2 linked regions of the Astyanax mexicanus genome follow. The protein of the gene in region 2 interacts with the protein of the main gene of each other region in a biochemical or structural test. Links are inferred from orthologs where the notes say so. Each region holds a gene or a part of one and is shown on either strand. Other genes may lie near its edges. The genes, in order: rab4a and rufy1.

What was found.
Region 1: the proteins of rufy1 (region 2) and rab4a form a complex in vitro, tested with the Homo sapiens proteins (2 studies listed by BioGRID). The link is inferred for Astyanax mexicanus from reciprocal best matches to the Homo sapiens genes RUFY1 and RAB4A.

What each region holds. Positions count from the first base shown.
Region 1 is NC_064414.1:38,725,883-38,742,443, reverse strand, and holds the start of rab4a (ras-related protein Rab-4A), read right to left. Parts: upstream 8,025-16,561; 5' UTR 7,892-8,024; coding exon 7,876-7,891; intron 5,736-7,875; coding exon 5,655-5,735; intron 5,559-5,654; coding exon 5,444-5,558; intron 4,930-5,443; coding exon 4,867-4,929; intron 4,767-4,866; coding exon 4,612-4,766; intron 2,629-4,611; coding exon 2,533-2,628; intron 2,447-2,532; coding exon 2,331-2,446; 3' UTR 2,303-2,330; intron 1-2,302. UniProt on the Homo sapiens protein: The small GTPases Rab are key regulators of intracellular membrane trafficking, from the formation of transport vesicles to their fusion with membranes.
Region 2 is NC_064417.1:28,101,932-28,119,376, reverse strand, and holds the start of rufy1 (RUN and FYVE domain-containing protein 1), read right to left. Parts: upstream 6,953-17,445; 5' UTR 6,871-6,952; coding exon 6,567-6,870; intron 5,292-6,566; coding exon 5,118-5,291; intron 5,014-5,117; coding exon 4,896-5,013; intron 3,985-4,895; coding exon 3,883-3,984; intron 3,775-3,882; coding exon 3,651-3,774; intron 3,558-3,650; coding exon 3,496-3,557; intron 2,317-3,495; coding exon 2,181-2,316; intron 1,995-2,180; coding exon 1,893-1,994; intron 854-1,892; coding exon 737-853; intron 1-736. Other genes in the region: hbegfa (heparin-binding EGF-like growth factor a), read left to right, coding at 11,681-11,720, 12,986-13,210, 13,330-13,501, 14,011-14,166, 14,324-14,396. UniProt on the Homo sapiens protein: Activating adapter involved in cargo sorting from early/recycling endosomes. Regulates retrieval of proteins from endosomes to the trans-Golgi network through interaction with the dynein-dynactin complex.

The sequences.
Region 1 (16,561 bases), on a different chromosome or scaffold from region 2:
CAAATGCAGGAAAAAATATTGAAACATTAAAAAACAGATTTCAGTGTGTAAAGGACAAGGGAACAAGCCTAAGCTCACCACCTGTGATATCTGATCCCTTAGAGAGTATGACAACATTCACATCATTCAGTAAAATAAAACCACATGGGAAAGGGATAACCTTTGTCAAACACTACAATATGAAGTTACACTCACAAGTGCCACTTAAAACTTGACTGCCACCTGTCTGTTTTTTGTTTGTATTTTTCACACTATTTTATATTGGAATTAAGTTTACATTTGCTAATAGAAACTAATAAATCAATACAGAAACATGTTAATAGTTTATAATATAGCAATTAGTAATTTTATATATGCAAATGTGTGCATTTAACCATTTCTGAAACCCTCCTTAAGGAAGCACTGTATGACTGAACCTACACATGGTTTGGCAAATTAATGTAACAAATGGCTGAGGGCATCAAGGAGACATCTGAAGCCAAATCTGTGTTCTTCTCACAAGCTCAAAATATATCAACAGGAAATTCTAACTGGTTTAATGTATGTTTATATATTACATATTGTTTAACAATGGTCCCAGATATTGGAGAATTGATTTAAGGATTTGCTTGTATTCCACAACAAGATTGTAAATCAGGTCAGAATGTTGAATGATCAGCACCACATCTCATCACCAACGCCCCAATTCTTTCCAAAAGTACTGGATGGAGCAGTATTATTCTACAGTATTCTATCGGCAATACTTCTCCAAAAGGGCTAGACATGCCAACATGTGTGGTGCATTAAATCGGAGTCAGCAATGAGTGGAACTGTAGCTTAAGTGTTTCCTGCGGGTAGCCATGTACCGTAGACTAGTAAAAGACTATAATTTCCTTTAAATGGAAATTTACTATTCAAAATCCTGTGTAGTCTAAGATGAAACTGTTACTTTTACAGTACATTATTCATTTAATTCATTTAATTATTCAATTAATTTTAAAGAGCACAGGACATAAAACGTAAATCAGGCATAACCTTTTTATATAGTTTTTTAATCATTCCATGATTTGGTCCTTTACATATCCTTTATATTTATAATCTCCTATTATTAAACTAAATCAGTATACATCTGTTTATATTTAGAATTGCTATTTTTAGGTAGAAGAGGCTGTGTCCCTTAAAGCATTTGGACAGTTCTACCAAGAAACTACATCTAAACTATGTTAGAAGTACATTCTGCACTGTTAAAATGTATTGTAATTTCCTATGCTTATTAAGAAATTACATTTTTAGTGTTTTAAAGTGGCTCCTTACTCCTTAATGCACTATATAAGAAGAGACTACTTAGTTTACTAGCACTTGTATTGCTTAAACAGGAGTAAATTCAGACACAATGTTTGACTGTTACATCATATACACTAGCATAAGCCTCCCATTATTGGCTACTAACAAATAGATGGGAATATATGTGAAATTCTCTGTGTCCAGTTACTATCAAACTCTTGTATGAGAAAAATGCCACTGGGTCTAGGTTATTCCACTCTCTGTTGCTTAGTAACAAGACTTACAATGCACATTGGTTCCGAATTCAACTCATATAGTGAGTTCCAATGTTTACTATTGGTTACTAATGCATTGTGGGAGTTTATAGTGAATAAAGTCATGCTTAAATTCCACTTTACAATTTGAACGTGAAAATAGATGTATTTTGGTCATAGCCTCTGTGTAATATTTTATAGTCTACAGTACTCTACTTTTAAAAGGTTATACCTGCCATTTTTAAACATAACTCTAAATTATACCTAGTGCTGGAAGATCAAATTACTGAGAAAATTGTATACACTTTTACATCTGTCCTGTCAGAGACAATCTAATAGAAGTATAGTAGAAAGGCTTGTGCATATGCCAAAAAGCCTATAAACAATTCTAATGTGGAAGTGATTTTTTTTTTGCACTTTGCCCTAACTGAAATATAAGGCAATATATAAGGCTGTAATGCTGCAGGGAGCAGCTTGCTATTCCCTAAAAACAAAATAAATGTTTTAATTAAAGTTTTATTGTACTTGTATGGTTTTGACTCCCTTGAGTCTTTTTTAGTTTTTATTGTAATTTTTATTTTTCAGTTTTTATTGTAATTGTAAATCATGCATATAATTTACTAATTTAAGGATTTGGAGATAATAATTTGTTTTAAGATATCACCCTGCTGTAATTAAGCCAAGCAAACAAAAGCAATTTTGATTCACCAAGGAGTTACCCCTAATATGTATTCTCTCACTAAATAAAAAATCTGTAATGAATCAAAAGTAAAGTCCCCTCTCACCTGGCTGTTCAGCTCTAACGTCCGGATGCTAACAGCCACACTCCTGCACGCTCTCAGCCTGAGCTCGTCTTGGGGAGCGTAGCTGCCGCAGTGCTGCATCACCGTACTGAATTCCTGAACCCATCCTCTCCGGATCCAGCTCACCTGAGCACAAGTCACAAAAACTTCACAACATGCTACACCAGCAGTACACTTTCCTTATTTTGTAACAGCTTCAGCTACAGCAGTACCTGATTCTATTTTGTTGAGGATTTTACGAGCACACTGAACGAAGGCCTCCTCCACATTCTCCCCTGTTAGAGCACTGGTCTCTAGAAACATGAGTTCTGAAAGACACACAGAATTAAAAATATATAGTAATTTAAGTAAGACTGTAAAATACAATATATATATATATATATTAGCCTAAATGACTAGAACCTAAGCATATACAGATATATAAGGACAAGACTACACAACTACATCTATCAATAGAATCAATCACTGTGAAAAGATGTATATACTAATACTGTATAGTTTGTATACAAATCATTACATCACATAATGAAGCAACCTTATTTTAAGTTACAAAACTTAAGTCAATGTTAAAAGATTTCACTCAGAGTCACTTCCAGATTGACATTATGTTGATGTCAATATTGATTTTTCATATGCCACTGGGTCTGTATTTAACTGAAAGTGGATAAAGAGTATGTTCTCGCAGTATTTCTCTCAGTAAATCTCTGTCTAATTACAAGCCTATAGTGGCCTCTTGTGGTACAACCACAGCAGAGACACTCATTAGATAAAGAGTATTACAGTGACACAAACACAATGACCTTAAATGTAACACCGTCATATTTGTTCAGATGGGTGACAAATAAAATAATATAATTTTAATAAAGATACTTTTATACATGCACACTATGATACATTTAAGCAATTGACATCCTATCTTATCATCATCCTAAATAACTTTGATTCACTATTGGGGCACAGGTTTCAGGAGCTTCAGTCAAAAAGTCAACTGAAAGTTAACTGATGTTTCAGTAGAAATAGAGAATCTCTTTAGCTCTGCTAAAGATTGATCTGATAGAGAATATCTGCACTGCACTTCTATTTATGGGAACGATATCTATAAAATTACAATGAACAAGTTGAATCTTCAGTGAGAGAAAGTGAAGGTTGTGCTTAATGTATAAGATAATTGCAGACAAGCAGAAGCAGCTGCTGTCAGTTAAATTACATTATCGTATTTTGTGAAATACTCTTTACATCATGATAACAATTAATTGCTGCATATATTGGTCCAAAGTTGATGTAAGTTAAGTTATATTTATATTTATGTTGTATAAAATCGGTGTGCTGAAGAAGGGAAAAGGCGGGCATAAATCTTACTGGTTTCTACAATATCAGGAAAACCAGGATTAACTGAGAATCCCATGTTTGTTACTAAAGAGGGTAAAATACTTATAAATAAGCAAATGCTTTAATAATCTTAGCAAGTCAAATTGGAGAGGTGAGTTCACGTATTGATTAGGGGTGTGCCATATCGTATCGTACGTGATAATATCGGCAGAAATTTTGAATATTGTGAACGATATTATACCCTGAAATATCGTGCCATATCACCCACCACTAATTATCACATCAAAGTACTACTTTTTTTTTTTTTTTTAACTACTTTTTAAAAATTCACACTGTTCTGATTTCCCATTATATATCTACTAGACACAGATTATCTGTCCAGTATCTTTTTTTTTACTTTAATCCTGCATATATGGAGATATTTTGAGTGCATTACTAGTATTATGACATTCTGGATCATTGACTTCTGTTACAAATCTGATACAATTATTATTTTTAAACATCTCAATTAGCCATATCATATTGCATGCAATAATACAATTCAAAATAATTTTTCTAATTCAGTGTTTTGTCATATCGCTAAAAGTATCGTTATCGTAAAAATGCCATGAAATATTGTGATATTATTTTAGAGCCATATCGCCCACCCCTAGTATTGATAGGACACAATCAAAATTATACATTCCACACCTATGAGTAAGAAGGTATATTGTGAAAAATATGTTCTGTGGCTTACAGAATCATACTGGATTGCAATGCAATTAAACCATTTAGGGATTTTTTGGATTTTGGATTGACTTGTTGGACAGTGGATGAGGAAAATTGTGTTAGAAGAACTGTGTTCCAGTACTGATCCAGAGGCTTGTTAAATTTAACCCAAGGCACAGTTAAGCTCTTCTGGCAACTCAACACCTTACTTACACATTTAATGTTTTTTTATTTAATTAAGTAGGAGTACTCACCGTTCTCTTGAGCAAAGCGAGAGGCCTCCAGAAAAGTGACTTCACGATCAGCATCCAGGTCCTTCTTATTCCCACACAGTATTATTACAATATTCTGGCTCGCCAACATCCTGGCATCTGTCAGCCAGTTGGTCAGAGCATTGTACGTCTCCCGACTGAGGAAAAAAATACAGATTAAGAGAAGGTGGGGGGAAAAATGGGGAAGAAAATACAACCCGACTCACAAAAATACAAGATTTCACACTGTTTCAGTACCTGGTAATATCATAGACGAGGAGAGCTCCGGCTGCACCTCTATAATAGCTTCTTGTTACAGATCTAAGGGGGGAAAAATATAAACTCTGTGCTTAATCTCCCAAAATACTGATAGTTTTCACAAGTCAAAACAATGAAAGGTGAAAAACATGAACTGGAACAATACTGCAGAATCACCTCATACTCAAAGCTTAGGTCAGCATAATAGATTTTAAAAACTTATTTCAGTCCTGAGCAACAATGATTCATCACTGTTTTGTTTATATTATGCCAAAGGTCAAGTGTATGGTAGAACAAGTAGTTCTGTGTAATGCTGCACACTGCTGAGAGGCCATATGTGCTAAATGCTGAGCACACAGCTTGTTTTTCACTCAAATCTAGGTGGGCAATATTACATAATTAGATTGTGTAGAGACACATCAGTGCTTTACACATTTACCAACTGTATAATCCTATTACAAATGTATTCGATTGTATTATATTTCTGCAAAACAGTTATAGTTTTTATCATATTGCTCAACCCCATTCAAATGTCTAAAATTAACTTCTCAGTTTTGAAAAGAAGTCATGAGCGCACCTGAATCGTTCCTGTCCCGCTGTGTCCCAGATTTGGAGTTTGACAAATTTGTTAACCACATTAATGATCTTCGAGCCGAACTCTACACCAATTGTATGGTTTGAGTCGTCTTTGACTGCAAGAACAAGAAAAAGTATGTTATTTTTTGAAGGGATGCATAGTTTAAAAATACATCTCAATAATATTATATTGTTATTGGTAACATACATACATTTCTTTTCTATGAACTGGTGAAGGAGGCAGGATTTTCCAGTTCCTGCATTCCCAATGACAAGGAACTTGAACAGGAAGTCTGAAGAGAAAATAAGAATGGTAACATTTATTCAGAGCAGTTTTCACAATTTCACTTATTTCATAATTAGTATAAGCATGTGTTTTTTTTTCTTCACCTTACATGCAGATTTTACGATGAAACACGATGTAAACATAACCTCATTATATTTAAGTTAAGACAAATGTAAAATATGTAAATCACTGCAGTATAAAATAGTTATTTACAGGATTCTGACAGAAACAAATGTCTATCTTCTGAGATTCCCTCTGTCAGCTTCTATATGTAAATAAGTACAATCTCAATTATCCCACTTTGACAATTGCATTAAAATAATAATTTGATTAGTCAAATGTATCCTCTATGGTATGAAATATGTTTTAGGAGAGAATTTTTTGTAAGATTGGGAGCATCTGTGGCTTTGGCTACAATTATAAATAAACATTTTGATAACAAACTGATCATTTGAATAAATTGTTTAAAAGCAAGGAAGCCCCCAAACCTGCATAACACTGCCCAAAGACAAATAATGAAAAAAAAAACAACAACACTGTTTTAGTAAGTTTACAACAGAAGATACCTTACTTATTTACATATATACAGCTCTGGAAAAAAAAATAAGAGACCACTTAATGATGATATGTTTTATGATTTTACCAAACTGAAAACCTCTGGAATATAATCAAGAGGAAGATGGATGATCACAGCCATCAAATCAAGCAGAACTGCATAACGTTATCCAAAAGCAGTGTAGGACTGATGGAGAACATGCCAAGATGCATGAAAACTGTGATTAAAAACCAAGGTTATGCCACCAAATTTTAATTTCTGAACTCTAAAAGATTTATGAATATTAACGTTATGAATTATAATCTTTGCATTATTTGAGGTTTGAAAGCTCTGCATTTTGTTATTTCAGCCATTTCTCATTTTCTGCAAATAAATGCTCTAAATGACAATTTTTTTAGGTTTGGGAAACTTAAAATGCTGTAGTTTATAGAATAAATAGAATAAAACAACAATGTTAATTTTACTTAAACATATTAACACATTAAACCAACCATGTAGCTTAAGTTTTCTGTCTGTAATGCACACAAACTAAGACACTATTATCCTAATAAAAAAAGTATACAAATAAATCCAATTAACTTTTTTTTTATTCATAAAAATAAATCAAAAAGTGTTCTAAATCACAAATAATTAGTAATAATGAGCTTGTGTTACTTTGCCTCAATTGTTCTGCAGTGCTGACATGCCCTAATGTCTGAGTTGCTGATTTATTCCCAGTGCAGTGGGCGGGGCTAAACTACTGTTTCATTGGCTGGTTTATGTTATTTTCTAATGCACAACAGGTTTCAAATAGTGCACTGTGAAAAAAACCATTTGACAAAAAAACTACATGATGTCCACTGTAACTGACACAGGGTCTGAAAGGGTTAATTCCTTCCAGCCCTACCACAAACATTAAAACCAAATCTAGCTAAAGACTAACCCAAGAAAAACACAGAAATAGACCTGCATTAAATAGCTAATCCTAGTTTGAATCAGACACTAGCTAGTAAGTTAAACTATCAGTGTATTGTTTATTAACAGGCAGCTAACATTACAGCTACAGCTATAGCTACAGTAGTTTAAGGTTTGGAACAACATCCAGTAACGTTAAATTGACCTAGCAGTTACCATAACTAGCTAACTTATATATCTAACGCTAGCTAACATAGCTAGCTAGGTTAGTTATCAGTTAGCTAGCTAGATAGGTAGCTAATAAATAACGCTAGCAGTTTTGGATAAACTAAGCTAACTAATGATCCAGGCTCGGTTCTACTGCATAGTAACACCAGGCTATCTAATACACACTCCTCTTACAGCACAGCAGCGGTATTCAGGGCGTTCCTGCCCTCTCCTCACGCCCTCCTGCCCCTGTTCACGGTCTGTATTAAATTCCTCCTCTCTCCAGCTAGTAAACAGCCCGGTGTTTATCCGCGGCTGCTCCCCGGCCCTGCCTGCCTGCTACCGATACATCCCCGCGCTTAGCCTGCGATCCTTTACACCACAACAGCAGCAGCAGCGCGGTGGATGAGAGCTGAACACCTGCTATATAAACACAGCCCCGCGGACACAGCCGTGACAGCGGAATAACACACAACCCAGCGCTCCGTACCATATGTCTCCGACATGGCAGACGCTGTGGGAGTCAGGTCTGATATTTATTAGCCTCTGTTGAATCGGAGAGGATATTAAATAACGGGAAATCCCTCAGAGGGATCCGCGCATCCTGTCGGACTTCCCAGGCTGTGAACTTCCTGTAGAGATTTTCACAGTAAAAGCCTGAGAGGCTGCAGATCCGCCGCAGCGGGAGGACCTCACCAGCTAATCCCGGAGCCCTGGAATTAAATTAAATTAAATTACAGCAAAAAAAAAAAAAAAAAGATTCCGTCTTTTTACGGAGCCCGTAAGGTGACATCATGTTAAAAAAGGAATTAATGCGTGGCCACGACTTATTAAGGTGTGGGAATTAGATCTTAATGCATGGGAACGAGATAATTAATGCATTGGAACGAGATAATTAAGTCATAGCCAGATAATAGTAAAACATGCTTTTCTGTAAATTAAAGTAGAACTCTGGTGTAAATTGTGTAGTAAAACATGATAAAAAGGATTAACCTTTGTTGAATAGACCACCTCCCCTCTCCCACAGCTTTCTAAGATACAGTACTTTAAAATATTAATTTAAAAAGATGGCGGTGCCCAGAGATTAGGTTATGCTTCGAGTTGTAAACAGTGTTTTTTAATAAGCTTCTTGTGCACTTTTAAAGTTTCTAAATGTTTTGTTTTAAATGTCAGGGCTCTTCAGATTATTTATGTGCAGGGGCAAAATATGCCCCATATCATCCATTCTAAAGCATGTTTGGACTAACTGCAAACAATTTCTGGATCTCAGACAGCTGCAACTGTTGAATTGGTTTCTTTTTATTTTCATCTTAGAATAAATTATGGTGATTTTTTGGAGTATCTTGCGGTGAGACATGGTATAATTCTAAATAGAAGACACTTAATTCTTATACCAAAAGCTGACGGGCTCAGGCTTAAAACAGTATGCAGACATGTTTACCTTACTTAGTCAGGCATATTGCGCACAACCCCTGACAGCTGCTTGCTTTGTTAGCTGTGAAAACCTTAACAGCCTTAATGGCTACAATTTAATTAACACATTCCCACATCTTAATATGTCATGACCACGCCTTAATTATCTCATTCCCACAAATTATTTTCTCATTCCCACACATTATTAAGTTGTGGCCACAATTATTATTATTTATTTATTTTTTTACAAGATGTCACCGTAGATGCTCTGTGCAGTTTAGATCATGGGCATTGTTTCAATTAAATCTAAGGGGGACGCGTCCCCTTCATATTTTTATAAGTATTCACTTGAACCCCAAACACATTTAACATAAAATATTATGTAGCCCTGCTAAATTTCTCTGTTAAGTTTTAGATGAAATTCTAAAAAACTTTATTTGTCCTCAGACACATTAATTCACAAATTGAATTCTGTTGCAATATCTTTCGTAATTGGAGCAAGGTGATTACTATTCATAAAATAGGTTGGTTAAAGTTACATTATAGTAATGGATGATTCAGCTAACAATGGATTGGCTATAGATAACATCTTATGTGTTGAAAAACAAAACAGCTTAAAACCCTGTTATCCATAGTACAAAAAATAAGGAGTGTATTTGTGTTTATTTCTGATGATTGCTGTTGTATTGAAATTTAATATCAAATAATTATATAATTATAATAACAAATAATATTTATGCTTTTTGGTCTATCTGTTTTCTTTCTGGTTTATTTAGGCTTGAACATTCTCAAACATTTCTAATAGGCAGAAGTAGGGTAAATACTGTGACCACATGGGGGTGGTAGTTCATCATGCATATTTCACACATTATTTACACTAATCCTGCAAACAGGATTATATCCTAATGATGATTAAAAACAAAAATGCATTGACAAAAACAGTAAAGACTATAAATAAGGTAGTATATATGTTTAATATATTTATCTTGGATCATACGATTGTATTAGACAATTGAAAGGTGACTATTGAAAAATCTTACAATGCAAATGCATTTAATGCTTGACAAAAGCAATTTAAAGAAACGAGAGAAGATTTCCTTCAACTTTTTTGTACAGGTTCTGAGATATTCTAAGATGTTGTTTAAGATTTATTAATATATTTTTCATATATTTTACATATTTGTCATATGAATTAAAACAGGGAACTATAAGGACTATTCCAAAAGCTTCAATTCTTTACTTCATGCAGTCCATGGTGGATTTTGAGGTTTATTTTGGATAATTACCCTGCTGTAGAAACAGTCTCTTTTCATCTTCAGCTATTTCACAGATGGTTTGACATTTGCATCCAGGATTTTCTGGCATTTTGTTGAATACATTATTCTCTTCACCTGAGCAATATTGCCAGCTCCATTGGCAGCAAAACAGCGCCATGCTGTGAAGTATGATAGATCCACTGCCATGCTTCACAGTTGGCAATGTGTTCTTTTCATAAAATAGGAGTGCATTTTTCTTTGTTATTTTGATTCAAGTTTGGTTTCAGGGCAGATTGTGGCCAAATAGTTATTTTGACTTTATCAGTCCACAAAACTTGTTTTCCAAAACTCATAAAGTAAGATTTTCTTTCTGTTGTTAGAAGTTTGATGAAGATGTATGATGTTTATGTTGTGCACACTGGAACAACACACCTCATCTGTATATACACAAATACTCAGAACTATATCTTTGTAATAAAACTTCAAACCATTGAAACCACAGGATTTATACACTTTGTTATTTTCCTCCCGCCTCTCTCCGAGGGAGATGAGCATATGACTTTCGCCACCAGATATTTAGACAGTTGCTTAGAGGATCTCATGTTTGAAAAATGTGAGAGTAGAATGTTGGAAGATGCTAAGATGCTAAGATACCCAAACTGTTAAACTGTTAGAAGAAGAAATGGACACATGACATGACACAAGACTGGCTCTTTCCACCAAGCTTCAGAGTTGAAAGGCAACATTATTAGTTATCTACCACACTGCAAACATCGCCACAGTGCCGTTAGCATTGCTACCATGCAGGAAGTTAACCTTGCTCAGCATCATTACTGTGGTAATAGCATTGCGGTCGCAGTGTTGCTACCCTGGCCCTTCTGATTTAAAAATTAGCAAATACACAATTACCTTTTTAAGAGCGAGACAGAGTCACATGATATGATACATGAAACATTATTGATGTCATATTTTATGCCACAGAACTTTTGTTAAAAAGAGCTTCCCTTTGTTGAGATACCAATGATGATCCTATGCAGCCAGTGGTGGTCTGGCAAAACTAGACTTGTCTGTTTTTGTGTGTGTTTTTAAAGCACATTATATTAACCACACTACCCGCCATTTATCCACCACTTACAGTTATGCAACTGTATCATGGAGCACATAAAATAAAGGATGCTGAAGAGTTTTAATGAAACCAAGATTCTTTTCCTCTTAGGATTTGCTAGAGATACATGAACGGTGACGAAGTGATTGATTGTAGATTACAGATGTAAATTGCCTGCTGTAAATTTCAAGCAGTGTTGCTTCGACTTGTGGATGTTATTAATTGCATGTGTAATGAAGAGCATATGAGAAAAGCCAGAGTAAACCACTAACAATCCATGTGCGTGCATTGCATAATCCTCTCATACACTCACTTTTCCTGCAGGAACACACACTGGTAATTTAGGAATTGAAAATTGAAAAAAGTCCCAGAGCTAAGCGCCACAAATTAAAACCAACCAAGCATTTGAAGTCATTGTAGAATCCCTGAAATGAAGTAAACACCCACTCAAGAAGACCTCTGATAGTATTAGTCACCACATGGCTTTTCAGATGGTTATGTATCATCATTGTATTGTTTTTGTGTATATATAGCTTCTGAGAATGTATAGAAATGTTTCTCCTTTCTTCTAACACTTCCTGTTTTTCTTAGGTCCTTCCTGTCTGGATCTGAGATACAGTGTATGTTAAAGAAAACTGCTGATGGTTCACAGAGCTTTAACATGCTGTCAAAGGTAAGATTTCCTTCTGGTGTCTCTGTCAGACAGATTATGTTATTACAAGCAACAGTTGAACAGTGCAGGTATAAATGTTCATGTCCTTAAATTGGGATATATTGGGATTTGGGTTGCCTATCTGGTCAGCATTAGAGCAGGTCTATAAGGTTTTCTTAGCCTTTCTAAGTAAGCACACGTTGTTTAATCACAAGGTGGGGTGCTTAAAGTTCTTCTTGCCGGGTATAATGTTGAAAACTCTCAGTAGATGGTTTTATATAGCACCAAAAAAGTGTTACACTATATTGTTACAAGAAAATAACCCTTTTGAGTACTAGACAGAACCATTTTGCCTAAAAAGTGGGGTAGCACATTATTATTTCATGTAAACCAAATGAACCCATACACACTCTGCCACAACTTGCTTTAATTTTGGTTTAATTTTAATGGCATTTACTAGAGGCAGATCATTTATTTTACTTCAGGCTTCAAGGCAAAAAAGGGATTTATTAATATCATAACATGTTGAATCACTTGCATTAGGAGAAAACTGGTAAAAAAAAAAGCCTGTGTTTACAACAAGAAAATGTAATTTTTGTCCAATATCATGCAGTGCTGGTGCAAATAATCATTGTTATTACCTTGTATCTTGTAGCATTTCTAACATAATGTAGAATATAGAGAATCAACTGCCAAAGTAACACAATTTATAAAGTAAAAAGAGATAATATTGAGATTGTGTATGACAGTAACTATAAACACATGTATTTAACATATCGGTTTTCTTTCTGTTTGCTTCAGTTACATCCACATTTAATCAAACACTGGAGCTAAAAAAAGAATAGTTTTTGAGCATCAAATTTCTCACTATTGACTGTGTAATTTATTGGTAATAAAATGGAATTTGCCAACTAATTTCTGCCTTTTATATTAGCTTTTACTTATAACAGCAACGTCCCATCTTCTGCTACTGTAAGCAAGTTATATAGTATGAACTCGGGGGGCTTCAGCCTTCACTGGAGTGATTCGCTATCACTGGAGTACAATGGTAACCAGGAAGAAGGGAAGTTAACTGTCCTTGAAATCTAAAAATGTCATCACACTGTCTGAGTCAGGATGTTATTCTGAAAAATGGGAGTTCTTTTTTTATTTTAACTCAATCTAGTGACCAGAAGAACTTGTGTCTGTGCCAGGTTGAGATTGTAGAGCACGCAACAGGACAGAAAAACATGTCAAATGCTGTCGTGAGAAGAACTGAAATGCTATCACCAAACACATTCTTCCCAAACATATTCTTCCTATTTGTGGTGATATGTCTGCAAAGACAAATGGTGATACCCCTACATAAAAAAAATGCTTTTGAGAGGCATTTTTGCTGTTTTACAAAAAGAGAAAATGTGGATATGTCACATATCAAATATATTTTGCATCTAAACGTGAATGCGAAGTGTTTTTCCAACCCGAATATACACATTCTGTGCAATATATCATTATTCCTTGTACACTATGTAATTGATGTGTGATAAAAAAAAAGTACAGAAGTATTACCGTCTGTAATTGTAGAAATACAATGTACTTCTCTTTATGCTCAGAATAGCTGAAATAGATAGATAATGTGTGTAGAAAAAAGGGTTGTAATGTTATGCTTGATTTGTATATATACATTAGATTCAGAGATCTACATTATTTGCTTAAGTTAAGTTACTCAAGAGTAATTTAACTGGTTAAGCAACTTTAAGAATTGTAAGAAGACTATGTTTTGGAACTGCTGATTTGGATGCAGTGACTAAGCAGTGTACTGAATTTTAATGAAAGGCTTAATTTTATGAGAGTTCTTCTGGCTGGTTGTTTGGATCTAAAATAGGTCATAAAATCACTTCTTATGCAATTAATTGCATCGACAGGAGAATAACACTCAACATTTCCATGGCTTCGTTGGGCTCTTACCGACATATGGTTTGTTAGTTTAAAGCGTGAGGAGGCCTTGAGAGGCTGTGCATTAACAGTGCAGGCTGTGACTGGGCTGGTCTGCTAAAGGCAGGATCACTGAAATAGTGTTTCTCTCCTTTCCAAACACGGCAGGCCTCTTTAGGCCTGTTTATCCTATAGACGGTTTCCTCTGCTGGCTCAGACTGAGTGGAAACCCAGCTCACAGACCCACTGACAAACATCAGTGGCAAACACCCTGAATACTGTCCTTATACTGAGGCCAGCACAGGCCAGAGCTGAGCGTTGGGAGAGAGTCCAGAAGGGGCGGGGCAGTGTACAGTGTGTAAAAAAGCTCTGGACTGAGTAAGCATACAGCATGCACAGTGTGTAGCCTAATGTTTGAGGCCACAGAAGCTAAGGCTGCATTGTTTTTGTATGCTATAAGTATTTTATACTATTGGAAGGCAACTAATTTCAGCATTATATTTGAGAAATGATCAAATATTGAAATTATTTACACTTAGCAGTTACCAGACAGTAGCGACAGTTACTAGAGCAGAATATACACATTTCAAAAGAAACAATAAATGAGTAAGTGTCTGTGGAAGATTGGCCTTAAAATAACAAGCTTACCTTATAATAATCATACTAGAGCTTACCTTACAATAATCATGCTTGCTAAAGCCTTAGCTTAGATAATTAAAACACATATTACACAAATATATCTATGTAAGCTATACTCTATATTCTCGTCATCTTCTCGTAAACATTAATACTTAGTTACTATTCCACACGTAGACACATCATATACTTGCTTAAAAGAATCTCTCATCTCAGCAGCACTGACCCAAGGGTCAACTGTAGAAAACATGCTTCCTCTTTTTAATGGTAAAAACATCTTGCGGTCCCAGAGCGTGGCAGACTGCAGGGTTCCTCTTTTCAGCTAGATTGAAACTAATGAATAAAACACAGACTACAGGGTTCCTCTTTATTCACTAGTTTAGGAATAAAGTACATTTTGTAACCTTACATTAAAAGATTACTCTGAAAAGTTATACATACAACTTCAAGCTTTGTTTAAGATATACTAACTAACTAATCTTACGGTAGATATAACGATACCATTATAAAACGGAGAGTATGAACTAAAACTTACTGCAGATACACAGTGAGACAATGTGAATGTTAATTAACCATGGCCCGCCACAAATAGGGGAAGTTCATTGAGCAGGGGAATTAATAACCCATGGGGCCTGCCAAAAAGGGGAACTGAATCTTCCCTTCTTCATTGAGCAGGGGAATCAATAACCCATAATAGAACCTCGTTTAACCAAAGGCCCGCCACTTAGGGGAATTGAAACTTCCCGAGCAGTGTTTTTGGCAACTCACGATTCCCCAGAAAGCCTACTGGGCAAAGGTCAAACAGAAGTTCCGAGAAGGTCTAAATAAAACGAGTTCTGAGAAAGACTGAATAAAACTAAAAATGGACTAATAATTAGAAAAACAGAAGTATTACTCATTCATGCCAAGTAACTCAAGATACGTCACAGGAGGGTATATATATTGGAGTCAGATCAGCACGAGGCAGAAGAACTGGGGGCGACTTACTAGCTTAGGTTAGGATGCTTTGCCTGTATTTGTTCTTCCCAGATATCTGAAATAAATCATACTTGTTCACTCTCAATCTCCGTGTCGACTGAATTCCTGGATCAACGAACATTCAACAGAGAAGCTAAAGACAGCACTTTTCTACAATTTGGTGACCTTCCGACGTGCGATCCAGGGTTTCGGCCGGCGAGGACACAGCTGACAGATTTCTTCACTCATTTGGGCCCATCCTACACAGGTGAGCAGATTGCCTTTTTATTAAAAAATCTGCATATTGGATATTTCAAACAGAATGAGTGATGGGATCCAGTAAGCTTAATCCTGGTAAATTGGATTGAACAACTAAACTTTTTTATTATTATTTTCTCTTCTATTTTATGTTTAAGAAACCGGTATAAAGGATAAAAGGATAAAAGGATAAAAGGATAAAGGATAAGGAAAACAGTGCTAATGAGACCGGGTGCTGGCGTACCCAAATCTGCCCATATTGGGTTAGATGAAAGGCTAGGACGTGGGGTTCCTTGAAAGTGGTCAATTCTAAATAAAATAAACGGACTGGGAGCTGGCGTACCCCCCCCACCCCTGATCAAGGTGGGATAATTGCCGGGACAGACGGGGTCATCCTGAGGCTTGGTCCACCTTAAACCCAGACGGTTATACAAACTGCTGGGAGATTTTAAAACTTTTTTATTTTCTTTATTTTAAGTTTTTAGTTTAAAGAACGAGCACTGAAATACTCTGAGGTAGTGTTTTCTGCTTAGGTGCAGGAAAGAAGGAAAAGAGTATGTAGTTTAAATAAAAATAAGAAAAACAAAATAAAAATACATATGCTATTGGTATTGTACAACTAAGGTAAAGCAATTGCTAATTGTTGATTTAATTGTTGTATGTGATTTGTGCGCGCGGGGGGTTAAATAACATAATAATAAAATATATACATATATAAAATAAATAGGATAGTTGGAGTATACTTAACAATTCTACAGAACAATGGGTGTAATTTACTTGTTTAATTGAAAATGACTGAACACTGGGTATGGGTGTTAGACGGTCATGACATTATCCGGCCTGAGATAAGAGAAAATGGTTTGATGTTAAACCCACCTTTCTCGACCATTCATTTTCTGGGGGATGACAGTAGTGACAGTACTGACTGCAGCAGCGATAGTGATGGTGACTGAATAGGCACAGTAAAAGGGTGTACGAGTGTCTG
Region 2 (17,445 bases):
ATTCTGAATAAGGAAGGCTATCACTCCATTTTGCAACGCCATGCCATACCCAGTGGACAGCGCCTGATCGGAGCCAATTTCGTCCTACAACAGGACAATGACCCTAAACACACCTCCAAATTGTGCAAGAACTATTTACAGCAGAAGCAGGCAGCTGGTATTCTATTGGTAATGGAGTGGCCAGCGCAGTCACCAGATCTGAACCCCATTGAGCTGTTGTGGGAGCAGCTTGACCGTATGGTACGCCAGAAGTGCCCATCCAACCAATCCAACTTGTGGAAGCTGCTTCTAGAAGCGTGGGGTGCAATTTCTCCAGCTTCCCTCAACAAATTAACAGCTAGAATGCCAAAGGTGTGCAATGCTGTAATTGCTGCAAACGGAGGATTCTTTGATGAAAGCAAAGTTTGATGTAAAAACAATGTTATTTCAAATACAAATCATTATTTCTAACCTTGTCAATGTCTTGACTCTATTTTCTATTCATTTCACAATGTATGGTGGTGAATAAGTGTGACTTTTCATGGAAAACACAAAATTGTTTGAGTGACCCCAAACTTTTGAACGGTAGTGTAGATTATTTACATCAAAAGTAAGAAAGTGTCACTGCTAACAAAGGTCTACTTGAATTGCTAATACCATTGTATAAACTTGCCTTTGTCGAGTTAAATAGTGAATGTGCATGAAAACTGTAAGAACTGTGACTGAAATATTCAGTATGGGGAAGCGAGTGACTGACCTGCCGAATGCGTTTCTCCTCCTTGTACTGCGTCCAAACCACGTTATACATCTCATCCAAACCCTGCCGGGACTGCCGGTACGTCTCTAGCTCCACTTGGCTGTCCTGCAGAGTCACCTGGACAAATAGAAAAGACAAAACAGGTATAAAGACACAGAATACACTGCTAGATAAAGATAGGATTTTACTATAAACCTGAAACTATGACAGAAATCTGCATTTGTGCCCCACCACATGCCCAAAAATCTGCAGTATATGTTATTTGTTTCTTCATTTTTTGTATTACAAAAGGAGAATAATCAATCCACATTTACCGCTTTTTCAATGTGTAATAAGTAGTCACTTAGAATTTTTGGATACCAATGCAAATCTTTGAATTTAATACTGACAGACAAACAATTTTTCAAAACTTTTTCTTTTTTTTTGTTGTTGTTTTTTTTCCCCTAATTTTTCGCATTTTCTCCCAATTTATCAAACCCAATTAGGACTCCCCCATCACTAGTAATGCCCCAACACACCAGGAGGGTGAAGACTAACACATGCTTCCTCGCTTCTTTTCAAGCTGCTGCTGATGCAGCATTGCCGAGCAGCCAGCGTGCTCGGAGGAAAGCGCAGCGGCTCGGCTCGGATACATCAGCTCACAGACGCCCGTGCTGCAGACATCACCCTAGGGGTGATGTGGGGAGAGAGCGCCATCTACCCACCCAGAGGGAGCAGGGCCAATTTTGCTCCCTCTAAACGCCGGCAGCTTGATGGCAAAGCTGCATGAGGGGGGTTGGAACCTGCGACCTCCTGCTCATAGTGGCAGCGCTTTAGACTGCTGAACCACTCAGCGCCACACCTTTTTCTTAACAGTAACAAAAAAAATGACAAAAATTATTATCACACAACATATTTGTTTTAATAGCCGACATGAGTAATGTCATTATCATACTGTCACCATGAGAGGCAGAAGCAGATAAATGTGAACATTGTCTAAAATTGTAAAAAAATTGTACTCAATGTGCGGAAGGGCCTAAAGTCTGCAGAAAGGTATCCTTCCACACACAGAGTTGGTCAACCCTATTCTAATGTTTTTTCCCAACACTCTGTGACACAAGACTCATATTATGAATAGAACATGTGTTCATTAGCCTGGCATCATTCTGAACCCTACCTCTTCTTTTCTCTGGCTGGACTGGAGGATGGTGGCGTTCTCCTGCCGCAGCTGATCCTGCTCCTCCCGCAGGGCGTTGATCCTGTCTGTGGCTGCTGACAGCTGCAGAACACACACAGAGCTTCAGCACTGCTAACACATGTAGGTGGTAATGGCCATGAATGAAGGACAGCTGCCTGGGACATTTCAACGTTCCAACATTCAAAACCAGACCGAGGACAGAACTACCATGAAATACGAGATCGTCTGGCAAACATGTAAGTGTGTGAAGGACGCAGAAGATCTGACCTCCTCTATGAGTTTGCAGTTGGTTTTCTCCAGTGAGTCCATCTTGGCCTGTAGGTCGGTCACAGTGCAGCTCAGGTGGCGGTTCAGCTCCTCTATGTAGTGCTTCTGATCCAGAATCGCCGTCATTTTGGAATCACTGGCAACAAATATAATACAATAAACAGCTAAGCTCAGCTAAGATCAGGGAGCTAATTTTAGGTGCAAATAAATTCATTACAATATACAGTACTGGCATTTTATGAGGCTTTCTGTTATTATTATCTGTAATTACCAGGTTAATCATGCATATACGCTAAAAGATCTCTTAGAACTGACTCTATTGTCCAAAAAAAGGCTTTCAGATCTGGATTTTGGAGTATTGCTGTGAGTATTTGATTGTATTCAGTAACCATCAGTGGCTATCAGTCACAATGATCATCATTAACCCATATCTAACAATAGCTTTATGTTTACCTACTCCAAAAAGTCCTATTCTATTGGTATTGCTTTTCTACATCTGTATCAGCAATGGATGCAACTTAAAGTAACTGAACCCATTCATTAGAAGGGTGTACAATTAATAGGCTTTTTTTATCTTTAAATAATAACTAAAAAGTGCTTCAAACATGATTTAACAAGCTGCGTCTGTCCACTGTGATGAGCAGAGCTGCAGATTATTCTGAAATGACCTAATTAAATCTGGGTCAGCTACCAGAATGTCCCATTTATTAAAAGTATTGAATAAATCTCAAGATAGATTACATTGATAGTTATCTATATATAAGACTTAATATTAACTATAAATAGGGCATTACTGAAAATGTTCAATTGAGCAACTAACTCCAAGAGATGGGAAAACATGTTGACAGTGTTTTAAAAGAATGTAATTCTAAGAGATTTTTTCATTTTGGAGTATTGCATCAGGCAACAATAAATAATCTATCAGTCTATATTTGAAATATTTAAAATCCATGGTTTAAATTAATACACCTTATATTTGCACATTATACATACTACATATACTACACTACACAATATCTTATGCCATTTTAAAGCAAATAGTCACTGTGACGAAGAGAAAGAAAGAAAATTCTTAACATGTTGGGATTGGAGTGACGTGGCTCAGTGTACACTGACTCTCATATGTCATGGGACAAGATTTAGTATAGCACTTCTGCCACATCCCATGAAAACTAAAGAGAGCTGTACTGTCCACTGTGGGAGGTAATGCTTTCTATGACATACTGCATTACACAAGTGACACAGTAAACTTCAGAAATAGAATGTTACATTAATCTGGCATTAGTGTAATACTTGGTGTAACAGCACTACTCACTCCTGTGTGTTTTCAGTTGTCTGTGGATCCTTTAGGTACAGAGAGAAGTCGATGATGCCCACCTAAAACATCCAGATGATAACAAGATGAGCAAGTGCATGACAAATCATCAGCACAGGGAAATGCGCCACAGCCAGCATCAGTGTGAGACCCACCTGAGAATCCAGGTCTTCCCCCTTCACACACAGGTTGGCATCAATCACATTCAGACCAACCAGCATCCCAACGATGACTGACCCCTCCTCCTCCAACAGGAGAGCTCCTGGTTCATAAAACTCACTGAAAGAGAGAGAGAGAGAGAGAGGTGGATGGATATAAAATACCAGACCACATTAAAGATCTTACATCTTGGAGTAGTGCTTGTGTCTGATCATGCGATCATCTCACCTCAGGACATCTCGCCTGTTTATCAGAACTTTCATATAATCTGCCACTTTCTTCTGCATAAGGGCCAAATGCAGCCACGCCCGAGCTCGCCCCAGTCCTGTCCTGAGAGAGATAGAGAGATAGAGAGAGAAGAAAAGTTGGATTGATAATATTAGGTAAAAAAAAACTCACAATGCATGATATAACACTGTTATAGCAAAAAAAAAAAAAAAAAATAGGGAAACGTATCTCCACTCTAGCTACATGATTTCTATTATATATGATTTTGGCTTTTTGTTGTTTATTTTTACACTTATTTTATCTAAATAAAGATTTATATCTGCACCAATAGGATGTCAATACAGAACTTTTTAATATTATTGATTTCCATAATTACCTATTCTGTGCCAATCAAAGGTTTGGACACAACCCTTCTCATTTATTGTTTTTTCTTTATTTTTATTATTTTCTACATTGTAGATTAACACTGAAGACATTAAAACTATGAATGACTGCATTTGCAAGTATGAAGTAAACAAAAAAACTGTTAAACAAGGCAAAATATGTTTTATACTTAAGATTCTTCATAGTAGCAACGTTTGCTTTGATGCCACCTTCGCCCACTCTTGGCTGATTCTCTCAGTCAGCTTCATGATGTAGAACCTGGCATGGTTCTCCAGCTATCTTAAAGGAGTTCCAGAGGTGGTGATCACTTGTAAACTGCTTTTCCTTTACTCTGCGCTCCAACTCGTCCCAAACGACCTAGGTTGGGTTTGTATGTCAGATGTTTGTGAAGGCCTAGTGCCTTATTGCATGTGTGTTCTTCATAGTCTTTAATTATAATCTACAAATGCAGTAAATGATACAAATCAAGATTAAATATTGATGAGAATGCGTGTCTAAAGATTTGACTTGTACTGTATTTGTTTAAACGTGTAGCTAAACAAAGAGAAGTGGCTAGTGGTATTGCACCACTACTGAAGAATTTGTGTACATAAGAGATAGTAAAGATCTGCAGCTGTAAAGAAACTTACTTAAGGCCAGGCATGTCCCTCACACTGGTGGCGAGGTCAGCAGACTCAGGACACAGTTTCTCTACCAGTTCCAGAGGAGCCCAGATAGATTTATTTTGGCCAATGAAGGATTTCTTCACTAAACAGAGAAGCAGAACGGGATTAGTTTAACATGCAGCTCTGAAACAGCAAGCATGCTCAGATTAACCACATTCTTTCAATAGTTTGGAAGCCCTGCTTTACCTTTCAATCCATGTTTAAGGCAGTGTTCCAACACCACAAAGAACTGCTGCAGCGGTGGATAATCAGAGTCCAGGGTTCGACCCAGGCTGAGGGACGACTGGATCAGGACCTTTATGCTGAGCTTCATCATGCTTAAGAGATTGGATCTTTCCACCAATACAGGATCTTTTATAGCTGCAAAAACACAACACACTAACTATTCAATATATATCCAGTATACTAAACTCAGAATACAAAAAGGCAAGAAAGCTAAACAAACAGTTTAGACGTAGTGTAAACAAGATTCACATTTATGAAATGCATGTTCCTACAGTGAAAACTAAGCGGCTGGCCTAGAGGATTTTACCAAACAGCAGTGACTCTACAGCCGATACTTTTATCCACCCTCTACCCTAACATCAGGAGAGTGACTAACACCCCGCCAGTGGGACCACCACAAATACTGTCATCTCCCAAACAAACACAAACCCCCCAAAATAACCCCAACAAAAGAGTTATAGTTATATAGACTACAGTTATATAGACTACAGTTATACAGAATACATATAAACATATAGACTAATAGTTATATAGACTACATATAGACTAGGAATAGGTGATAATATTAACATATTGCTAGACTAGGGGGACAATACTATCAAAATGAGTCTATTGTTGGACAAAGGACATATTACCAAAGGAACACTGTTGAACTAGGGACTATGTTATTAACAGGAGAATACTGTTAGACTAGCAGCTATATTATTACCATCGCCATACTGCTGGACTAGGGGACTATATTATGACAAGACTACACTGATGGAATAGGTGACTATACTATTAACAGGAGTACATTTCTGGACTAGGGGACTATATTATTAACAGGAGTCTATAGTTGGACTATGGAACTATATTGTTATTAGCAGAATACTGTCGGACTAGGGACTGTAAAAGCTGGTCATCCAGGTTAAAACAGGCCACAGGCTGATAGGCTAGCTGGTTAAACAGTTTGTGACAAGCATAGGGTATACTGTATTTTATTTTTGTCAGGCTTGGCCATGTTGGTCTTGCTGTTAATGCCTGGTATTCTGTTCAACAAGCACAGTAAAAGCTTTACTACTGGTTATCTAACTAAATAACTAGTTAACTAGCTTGGTCATGTTGATCATGACTGTAGATCAGCTAAACTTTTAAACTCGAACCCAGTCATACCCACTGCGAAAGAGCTTAACCATTTTATCTAACCATACTGTTTTTATGCAACAGGGTAACAAAAGTAATGCACTCTTCTGTACTGTACTGTACTGTACTATATTGTACAATAGTGTACTGTAGTTTTTGGGGAAGTAAAAGTTACTCAGACAGCTGACTCACAGCTGACACTGTAGACAGCTGACTCTAAGGTAGATTCTGGTCTGTAACGTTACTGGTTAAAATGATCGGTACTGTGGTGTGTTCGGGGTTCTGTACCGGGTCTGTTGGTGTCCGGGTGGTCGGTGCTGGTGGGAGAAGCTGGACTCAGCTGTTCAGAAACAGAACCGGACCTCCTCCACCCGGACCCGTAACTGTTGACTCCGCTCAGCGTCTCCGTGGCTTTCCGGGCCAGAGACAGGATCGGAGCGGACCAGGACCCGTCCGCCGCTTTATCCCTCCGCTCCCCTTCGCCCTCCACCGCCGCGGATTCGGGCTCGGCCGGAGCCGGGTCCGGATCTGCCTCTTTAACCGCGCTGTTTACAACTGCACTGTCTGGATCTCCGTCAGCCATTTTCCGCATCACACCACGTGACACCAGGCCAGAGTAATCACCTGCAGACACTCCAGGAGTCACGAGGCCAGAGTAATCGATCGGACTTTTAGCGATTCTCTGTTTTTACCAGGGAAGAGAAATCGATTGATATTTCAGGTTTAAGGTGGTAACATATGTTTGAGAGATGTTATTTGAAGCATAATTATAATCTAATCTAAATCAAAATATTCATTTAAATATAAAACTAAAGTGTGTTATTTTGATTATGGCAAAACTGCACAGATGCTGTTTTACAAATCTACTTACTACCCTGTAATTTTGCTTTGTTGTGAAAGGCTATTTTTCCTTTTACCCACCAGTTTCTACTTTTGTGTCGAACCTATGTGTACCTGCGTACCCTGCGCCATAGCCCAACGCACTCCTCCCCAGAAATGTTGCTAACCATTCACCAGGTGATGTGGCAGCTGTGATTAGTCTGCCGAGCCCCTCGAGTTCCCGCCTTCACAGTTTAAATTGAGTCGTAGACACACAAATACAGAAGTATAAATACACAAAGCAGCAAAGTGCCTTCGCACATAGACAGACATGTATAAAATATTAAAAACTTATAGCTCTATTTAAAAAAGTGACGTGTACAAGTTGAAGTGTTTTTAAGCACCACACTTAAGTGGGAGTCTGAAAGTATTCAATATTCCTAATAGTTGTTTCTATAAATGCAATAAGGCACACTACAACATGTTTATTTTCTGGTGTATTTTCATACAAAAGGTGCACCAGATTATAAGGTGCATTATGCAACTGTAACAGAGTTAAAAAGAACTGCATAAAATTATATGAATTCTCACTAAATTATTATTATATTAACCTTTAGTAAACAAAAGGGATTCTTGTTATATTTTTTTTTACTCCTGTTGGAGGTTGGTTAATGTGTTTTAACAGTAAAAAGGTGGTTATTTTTCTGTGCTTTTATTTTGAACGACAAATCCCTGCACCAGCAAGGCAACTGCATGTTTTTTTTTATTAATTATCCCTCTGCGCCCCCCGTAGCTCCAGAGGAACTTGCAAGCAGCGCAGGAGATATACATGCAGTTGCAGTCACTAAATAATCGGCTGGGATTATTTGTTTGTTTGTATGTGCAGATGTGCAGAGTAATAAAGACCAGAGGAGAGAAAGAGACAGCCTGCCTCCCCGCGTCTTTCTAACTTCCCACCAAAGGGTCTAACAAGTGCTATAGGGCAGCAGGAGAGCCGCCACACAACACTAGTAAGACACAGGCGTGTCACCGTGTTTTTTCTTCTAATTCAGCAGGTCTTGCCGCTGGGTGGCGAGACCTGTAAAGCTAAGCTAAGTTAATGTTAAGTAAACAAAACTGTAATTAAAACAAAAAAAAATATTTTACCGTCAAGTGATGGATTTTAAGCTGATGGATTTATAGTAAACTTCGATTTCCAGGTAAGATTTTCAGCATTACACTGACGAACCCTAAGTCTTTCAGAAAGCCACGGCGATATTACCTAGTTTGCCCCATGTAGCTTGTTTAACACGGAAAACAAGCAGACTACAGGCCGATAATACTCACCTCTGAACAAAAAAAGAGCTAGCGCTTAGGGCGGTCAGCAAGTAATGCTAATGCTGCTCCAGCAGTGCTAGCTAGGGTTAGCAGCAGGCTACAAGCCAATAATACTCACCTCTGAACGGCAAAAGAGCAAGCGTTTAACGGCTAATGTTAATACTGCTCCAGTCTCAGTGCTGGAGAAACTTCACTGAAACTCCTGTGTAATGCTGTACTTCTGTGGAGTGGCTTTACTGCTCCTTACAACTTACAATTTTTGGGAAAATAAAGGATTTGAATTCCACCTTATAGTGTGAAAAATACTCAGTTAGTTAGAGGGTGTCACACTAATTAGATGAGAGAAATTTTCATAAACAGAGTTTTGAACACAACACAGAAAAAAAAATTGTTTTGAGGAGTTCCATTGAACTTATATCCACCACCTCCACAGATGAGGAGCTGTCTGTACGTGACGGGGCTAAATTTACCACATTCAACCAAACACCCATAAATCTGCTGCATTTTATAGGGGATAGACGTTTGGAAATCACTGACATTTACATATGCAGCATTAGTCTAGCATAGCAAAACTTAGCACTGAAACATGAACACTGTATTTTTTTGCAATTATTCTTAAGTCTTACAAGGTAAAATTGCTTTCTGCTTAGTGTGAAGTGTGATTAGCTAGCCCAAGAGATTGTAACCAGGGATCAGGGGGCCCCCTGCTGGCCAAAATGTTGGCAAAAATAAATGAATAAATAAATAATAAGGAAAGGAAGTCCAACACAGAAAGTCTGACAAAGCTCACCATTTTTTGCAGCAGCAGGTTGGGGCCCCAGAACTTCCAAATCCACCTCTGATTGTAACCCCTTGACTTTGGTAAGCTTTTAGCCTAACAACTTCCCTGGCTTCCTCAAAGTCTGTAAAAGGCTTTCTCTAGCAGGTTTGATTTATATAATTTTGATGGTGTACGACTATTTTGATTTTTTTTTAATTGCTCCCTTTTACAGCTCTGTTTTTTATGTTCTTATGTTTCATGTTTATTTATTTCACCAAAGTTACAGGGTGCAGTTAGCAGCAGGCCCAAACCAAAGTACAAACGACAGAGACACCATTCTACTTTCCACAAGTGAATAGAACAGCACAATAATTTTGGAGCTATTATTTAAAAATAGAAATGCTATAAATGCTGCTTTTAAGAATCTGCTGTCAACATCATGGTGGCATATTCCACAGAACAACGTCAGAGATCTTTGTTTTTTAGGCAGCAACATGGTGGCCTTCAGAGTTTGTTGGGATAATGTACCAAACCTCACCTTTACTCAGCCAAACAGAGTCACTATTGCTGGAGAATGGGAATTCACTGTTCAAACATTTCTTTATTTAGCTAGATACACAAAGATTCTTGTATTCATTCTGGATGTTCAATAACTATCAAGCCTGATTGGTTTACGACAGAATATACAGTAATAATAGATCTATGAGAAAGGGTGGAAAGTCATGATAAATTTCACTAGATGGCAGTATTCCTTCATTTGCAGCTCACTACCATACTTTTGATTATCCAGCATCCTGACCTTAGTAAGTTAACAGAATGTCTTGCCTGGACTGTAGAGACAGTTGCTCCAACAAGTTATATTAAATACTCTTGTTTTCAGAAGAAACGATGATTGCTCATATGTCTCAATACTTCTGTCCATGAAGTGTATTTTTTATTACATACACTTTCACACACAGCTTGTTTTACATTTATAGGAAAGTATTGCCAATAAAATTGGACAGTGACACATGAGCCTGAAGTGACTGTAGCAGGGTATAAAGCCCCCAGTATTGAACTGTAAAACAATGAAATTGGGATGATGATGGTCTCTGGAATGATGATGGTCTCCATCCAGTACTTCGTAAAATGAGTTGAAGTGGTTGACGTTTTGCATGCTCTTGATTGTATCACCTTTATAATGGGATGCTCTGGATCATGATGGATAAAAGTCAACTTGTAAATACCAAGCATTGGCAGAAGTTATAAAACCTGTGTTCTCTGGAATGATGGAGCTCCATCCAATAATTTTGTGGATGAGTATAAAGACTTTATGTATCTACCACTGATGTCAGAAGAACTTTTGTTTCAGTAGGTGTTTACAGACTTTTGGACATATTGAAGACTTTTTGGTTGGTCTAACTGACACCACTAGTAAACAAAACAAAATAGTAGTAAACAAAATAAATGTAATTTGTGACTGCATAGGCAGCCCTTGAATAAAAGGTGGTGATAATATGAATAATATGGCTTCATATGTATTGATGAAGGCATGTTCTAGTCTGCACCCTCCTAGAGTAGTAATTGAAGTAATTGCTAGTAATAGGTAGGACTAATAGGATATAATTGGATAATTTATATAATAGTGTTTTTTGAATCTTTCAAAATGAAACAAATAACTGAAGAACACCATTTAGCAGAATTTAAAGAATGAAAATACAGCAGTCTTCTCTTGCCAACGATACGGTTCTATTTCTCACTTTACGCATGCACACACGTGCACAATAAAACAGCACTATACTGTTATTGTCTGATGTTTTTTTAAGTTAGAACGCTAAAGTCTGATCATCCTTAACTGGGAGAGAGAGGCTACCTGTGGTGCCATTGGTCTGTCATTAAATGAGGAAAATGAAGTAAATTAAATTTAAATGCCCAGAGTAGATTGAGTAAGTGCCCTGAAAAATCCATAATGAGTGTTGAGTAGCTTCCCGCTTTTAGCGTTTTTAAATTAGACCAGATAACAGAGAATGTAGCTGTGGGAGGCATGTTTCATAAAATAATGTAAAAATGTGCTTCCAACAGTTTTTGCAAAATAGTTTGTGTGTCTAATATGAATCTAAATGATTCTATTTCTTCTGATATGATAGACGACACCCTGTCAGGCAGATCCAGTTATCCTTGGATTTATCTATTTAACTAAATAGCTACAAGATTTGGATACTTCCTCCACCACCGGCAGACACACACAGAGAGGGCGGGGCTCTGGCAGTGTGTGGGCGGGGCTCTGACCGTCTGTGGGTCTGGCTGTATTTAAATGCTTGCGCTTCACCAGCGCAGAGTTTCTGTCGCGCCTCTCCGTCTGTCAGTCTGTCTGCCTGCCTGTCTGGCTGTCTGTCTGCTCCGAACTGGTTGGAAAAAATTCCGGATTAAAGTCAGGACTGCCTGTGTGGAATATCTTCCTACGTAAAGAAGTTTTAACTCGATTTAAAGGATTTTCTCTCATTTGTTCTTCAATAAGTTGGACATTATGAAGTTTCCTGCAGTGGTTCTACTGGCGCAGGTTTTGGGTGAGTATACAGAAGTACTTCACACTCCATTTATGCGTTAATTCAGTTTATAATTCGCAGTATTTCAGCGTGTGTGAACGGACATATTACTCCTGAAAAGTAGATATTGTTCATTTCACTCCTCTACACTTCCAGTCAGGTCACTACAGCAGTACATTTTTACTGCTAAAACTGGCCCCCTTCTTTTCTTAGAGGGCAACAATGTGGTTCAGCTGGTCAGCAGCTTATTTAAGAATATTCTTTATGTAACATGATCTGTTTATTTTTGACCCGTGTGTTCATGCATTAGATCAGTGTCTGTGCATGCAAGCTTTTTTAAATATCTGGCCCAGTGCCTTCTAGGGCTCCACACACTCTATTTAAGCTAACAGAATAAAAAGAAATCATTTTTAAGCTAACTACAAAGACATTTAACAAACAATTAAATATTAATAATAAACAAAACTAAACAAAACTGGCTTTTGGCATTTGTATTTGGCACATTGCCTGTTGCATAAGTCACCATAAAGCCCTACTTGCCTTTGCAATAGCCATGGCGATTGCATTTAGAAGCTTTATAAACTTATATCGTACCTTTAACTGATATAAAGCACAATAAAACTGGAAATGTATTTATATGAACAGACAAATATTATATAATTTAACTGAATCACTTTAAATTAGACCTATATTCTATGTTGAGTAATTTAAAATACTAAACTAAGTTTATTCTCTCTGAATGAGCTACTGTGTTAAATGTTTAGCATTTTATTTAATATACAATATTTTACTTTTCTACAAAATATCAACTTTCTAACTTTATAAATGGAAGTCAATGTTAAAAAAACACAAAAAAATATTCCAAGTAATTTTGGAGTATTTTTATTGGTCCATTCATCATGATATTTTTGCACACGGCTGTCAAATTCATAATAGATGAATAAAAAGAAAAAACGTAAAGAAGGAGATACAAAATTTTCGAGTGTGAGTGCGATGGAATGAACAATCTACAAATATATATATATAAAAGATTTATTCTGTTTATATAACATTTATACTTTATGTGTCAGTATCAGCAAAAGAAAAAAACAAATATTGCATAGCAGCCCACAATTTCCACATTGCTGCATTCCAACATAACCAAATTTTTTAATGGTGCTGAACAAACTGGTTTGTGATGATTGCGTAGCCCATAAGTCAACAAAGCTTTCACTCTACATGAACTCTATTCATACTCTATAAGTTCTGATGTCATGATTTCCTTTTCCTGTCTCTTGTCCCCTCAGTGGCCTTCACGCTGGTTAGCAGCGCATCCATCGACAGGTATGAGAGTGAGAAACCTGCACAGGTCACGGTGATTCACCTGTTACGAACGTCTGAGGCGCAGGACGAGAAAGGACCTGTTGAAGAGAACAGGCACGTGGATTCCTCACTGGAGGAAGGAGAGGAGTATTACTATGATGACGACATAGACGAGTACGAGCTGTCGGGAGATGATGAGATGCCCAGAGGTAATTTAAACAATAAAAAAAATGGATATTGATCATAAATTAGTCATTAGAGAGGATTAGTTGTCAGTTTTGCAGAATACCAGCTTATGTCAACTGTACATTCTTTTTTCCTCCTGCAGTTGCATTTTCAAGCAAACCTAAAGACCCAAGCACAGTCCTGACTGAGGAGAAGAAAAAGAAAAGCCAGAAAAAGGGAAAAGGCAAGAAAAGGAATCCGTGCCTGAAGAAATATAAGGACTTCTGCATCCATGGAACATGCCAGTACTTAAGGAAGATTGGTCCTTCATGCATGTGAGTACTTCTTAGAAGAGAATATACTAAACAAAAATGACAATTTTTACTGTACACTGTTAAAAGTATAAGTATGTTGTGAGTTCTTCTGTTTGAAACTTTGGAGGAACCCATTAAGGTGCTTGATGAACTGTCTGTTTTATAGATTAGTTCATCAAAAACTCTACCAAACTGTTAAGAGGAAGTTAACAGGTTACCATAAACTTTTGGAGGTTATTTGATTTAAAACTGTGGAGCAACCCATTGAGATGCTTTTAGGGACCTTCAAGAAAAAAGTTCTAAGCACCTTAGGGGTTCTTCTTCTACATTTTCAAATTGAGAAACTAAACAAATTTCTTTTGAGGATCTTGTAACTTAAAATCGGATTTTGGACCTTTTTGTATTGGTCAGGTTACCTGTTAACATAGAAGTTCTTGCTATCAACTATGATTCTTCTCATTTCATATGATGATCAGAATTCTTCAATTCTTCTAAAGCCTGACCATAGAACCTGTCCCCTCTCTGTGCAGATGTAACCCAGGTTACTCAGGGGAGAGGTGTCACTCCTTCTCGCTGCCTGTATGGACCCCTGAGGAAGGGTACAACCGCACAACAGCGCTCGCCGTGGTGGCCGTGGTGCTGTCCTCACTGTGTCTCACCATCATTGGGCTCCTTTTGGCTCTCAGGTCAGTTCTTCAGCACTTACATCTACTTTCTACGGTAGAACGGGCCACTACAATGCCTCTTGTTGAAGTTGGATGAGTAGTACCTGAATAATAACTGAGTAATAGCAATCCCTGTGATTCAAAGTGGTTAATATGACTTTGTTTTATATCTCCACAGATTTCACAAGAGAGGCACGTATGATGTAGAGAATGAGGAAAAGATTAAACTCGAGGTATCCCCGCACCACTAAGGAGCAGATCATGGTAAGCAAACACACCAACCACACATCCACTACACACTAAGGGTGTATGGAAATATTAATAGATATAGATGTATCACGATATTTTGTGATGCAATACTATATCGTTTTTTTTAAAGCACATTATAAATTTTTAATTAGAAGTTTACATATACTGTAAATAGACCTGTCACTATAATGCCACATATAATGACAATAACAAAATATCAATACCACAATATATATTGCATCTTTTTGTTTGTGTTAAATAGTTTTATTTGTTAAATTCTGTGAAACAAACACCAATAAATCAATAATTTTTGGTGTTTACTTATTAAGGGTATTTTATCTTCCTCAATAATTGAATATGACAGAATCACAGTATTGCGATACTGGCAATGGGCAATACACACAGAGGTCAGCAAAAATGATTGGGGCATAACTGAAGTCTTGTCCTATATCGTCAGTAAGGTGGGAGATAACGTAATAATCACAGATTTCATAAATATGATAATATTATTAAGAGTTTTCTTACAGTTTACAGTTTTTTTACGTTATTTAAACCATTGCAATGTATCACCTTGCTTACAGTGTCGCAATATGTTTTCGGAATAATATATTCCATATATAACATTCTTGCCAATACACAGCTGTAACACACACTCTCTAGGCAATGCCACGGCCCATATGTGTGCATCGGTACGCTTAGTGCTATGTTCTTATTTGACCTCTTGTATTCTCTGTGTCTGCTTTATTTCAGGAGGAACATGCAGAAGTTTCTACCTCAGCAGAAGGGCTCGATCTGAAGCAGATGGCCTGAGTGGAAAAGAAGAGCTACACTTCTCCAGAGTGCCCTGCGTACACATGCACTCCACTGGCCAGTTGGGGTACAGAGTCTGACCGTTTTGAAGAGTCTACGAGACTGAACTGTGATCGGCCCAGTGGATTTCTGTAACGCACTGAAAAAAACAAAAAGGAACTGGTCATTTTGGAGTGCAGCGGTGACGTCAGCGGTGTGATTGAGTTTGCACTGTTGTCTACGTCGGATATTTATTGTGATATTTTTATATGACGCGTTTTACTGTGTAAATACTTTCGTTTAATTTATTTATTTATATTATGAGTATTTATTTCGATTTGTACCAAATTTGTCCAAACCTGGCTAAGTGTTGAAAAAGGAGGTATTAAAGTAGGAGACATGAAATACAACCCAAACAATCTAAGCATTTATGCAGTCAGTGTTAAATAAGCCCACAATGGTATTGTAAACATACATAGGAATATTCACACATGAATAAGGACTGTATGTTTTAAACAAGCACTTGGCCAGTTATGCTTTCACAATTGATTTATGTATTGTGAAATAAAATTGTACTGCTTGAAACAAAATGACAAATCTTGAAATGTGTGTTTATTCCTCTTTTAGTTTAGGGGGGTATTTTAGTAAAGACAAATGTATCATCCCTGTCACCCAAAGATCTTTAATCTTAATTTTGTTGTTTTTAGCTTTTTGATAGAGTGTAAATCATGCAGTTTTCTTTACCCTGTATCCAAATTTCATTGACCAAAAATGTTGCATTGACTTTTTATGTACAGTTTGGTAGTTGCTATTTCAGAGAAGTTTCTTTTGGGTAACAACAATAATGTAGAACCTTTCTCCTCTTAATTAATTGACTGGCTTACCAGCAGTTTTTTATACCTCTAAGAGATGGCTCAGCTGTGTGATAGTGACAGTGACATTGATATTAGTCCAAAGGACACTTTTTATGTAGAGTGTAGTAGATTGGTGAAGACTTAATGTACTGGACAGGAATTAAGTCTAATCATACTCCTTTTAATGGAAAATACCCACTCAAGATGCTATGTAGCCCAAAACTAGGCTTAATCCCATTGTTATATCTTTCGTATGTACTGACTCTGTCAATAAGTTCCATATTGGTTATTATATATATATATATTGTCACTGTTCTGCAAAATATTTTTCACTTTTTGCCATAATGTAAATCTGCAGCTGTTTTTCACTTTGTGTCCCAATTTCATGATAAAAGGAGCAATATAAATGCCCCTTTTGGCTTTAATTTGAATCTTTTTAGTTTGGCTTCTCCTATACAGTTTCAGTTTTGGAAATAGATTTTTGCATGACAGAGATGATGTTGTGTGTTATTAAACCAACAAGTTAAATCTGTTCATGTTGCAGCCCAACATAGTTGCATGACTCACTTCCGCATGTAGGCAGCTGAGTCTGGTTTCCCATTTTAGTTATATTTTAGAAAAGCAGAGCCGGAATGATAACACATCGTCGTCTTCCCAGCTTTGAGACAAGAAAAACATTAGTCTATCCTGTCTCCTGCCTTCATCACCCCTCCAACTGCACCTGTATCCTGACTGTCTGATGTCCACTTCCACAAATGAGTGTTAGCACGGAACATGCCCACGCAGACCACTTCAAATGACCACACTTACAGCCCAATTAGTGGATCCAGATGGTCGTGTGGAAAGCAGTTCACTTAGCCTCCTAAAAAACAACCACAAAGTCTGTAAAGATGCTACAGTGTTAGCCTGGATAAGGTGAAAATCTTAGTTAGACTTGAAACTTTTTGTTATTATGCCTGAATGCCTTAATTTTATTGATTTTCTTTTTTATCTTTTTGGTAAAGCATTACTTTGCACAATAAATCTACTTGGAATTTTATAGTAAGGTGAATAAAACAGATTTGTATTTAACCTTATTTTTAATATTAGTTCTAATAAAGATTTGAAATAATCCTAGAAAAAAAGACAGAGAAGAAAAATGCTGTAGAGTTTAGCACACAACCAGCACAGAGTTAGTAGCTCAGAAAATGATGGATGAGCTACAAGTTTATCCAAGGTTGCCTGAGGGGAATCTACACACCGATAGTGAGTCAAATGTCTCTGTTTGATTGTATGTGTGGCAACAAATGCTGAGTAGTTGAGTAAATATTGGAAACAGATTTAATTCAAACAAATGGTGGATTTACGATCTACACCATTTTAGTGACCCAATTGTGCAGTTGTGTTCATATAAATCACATTAAATGAA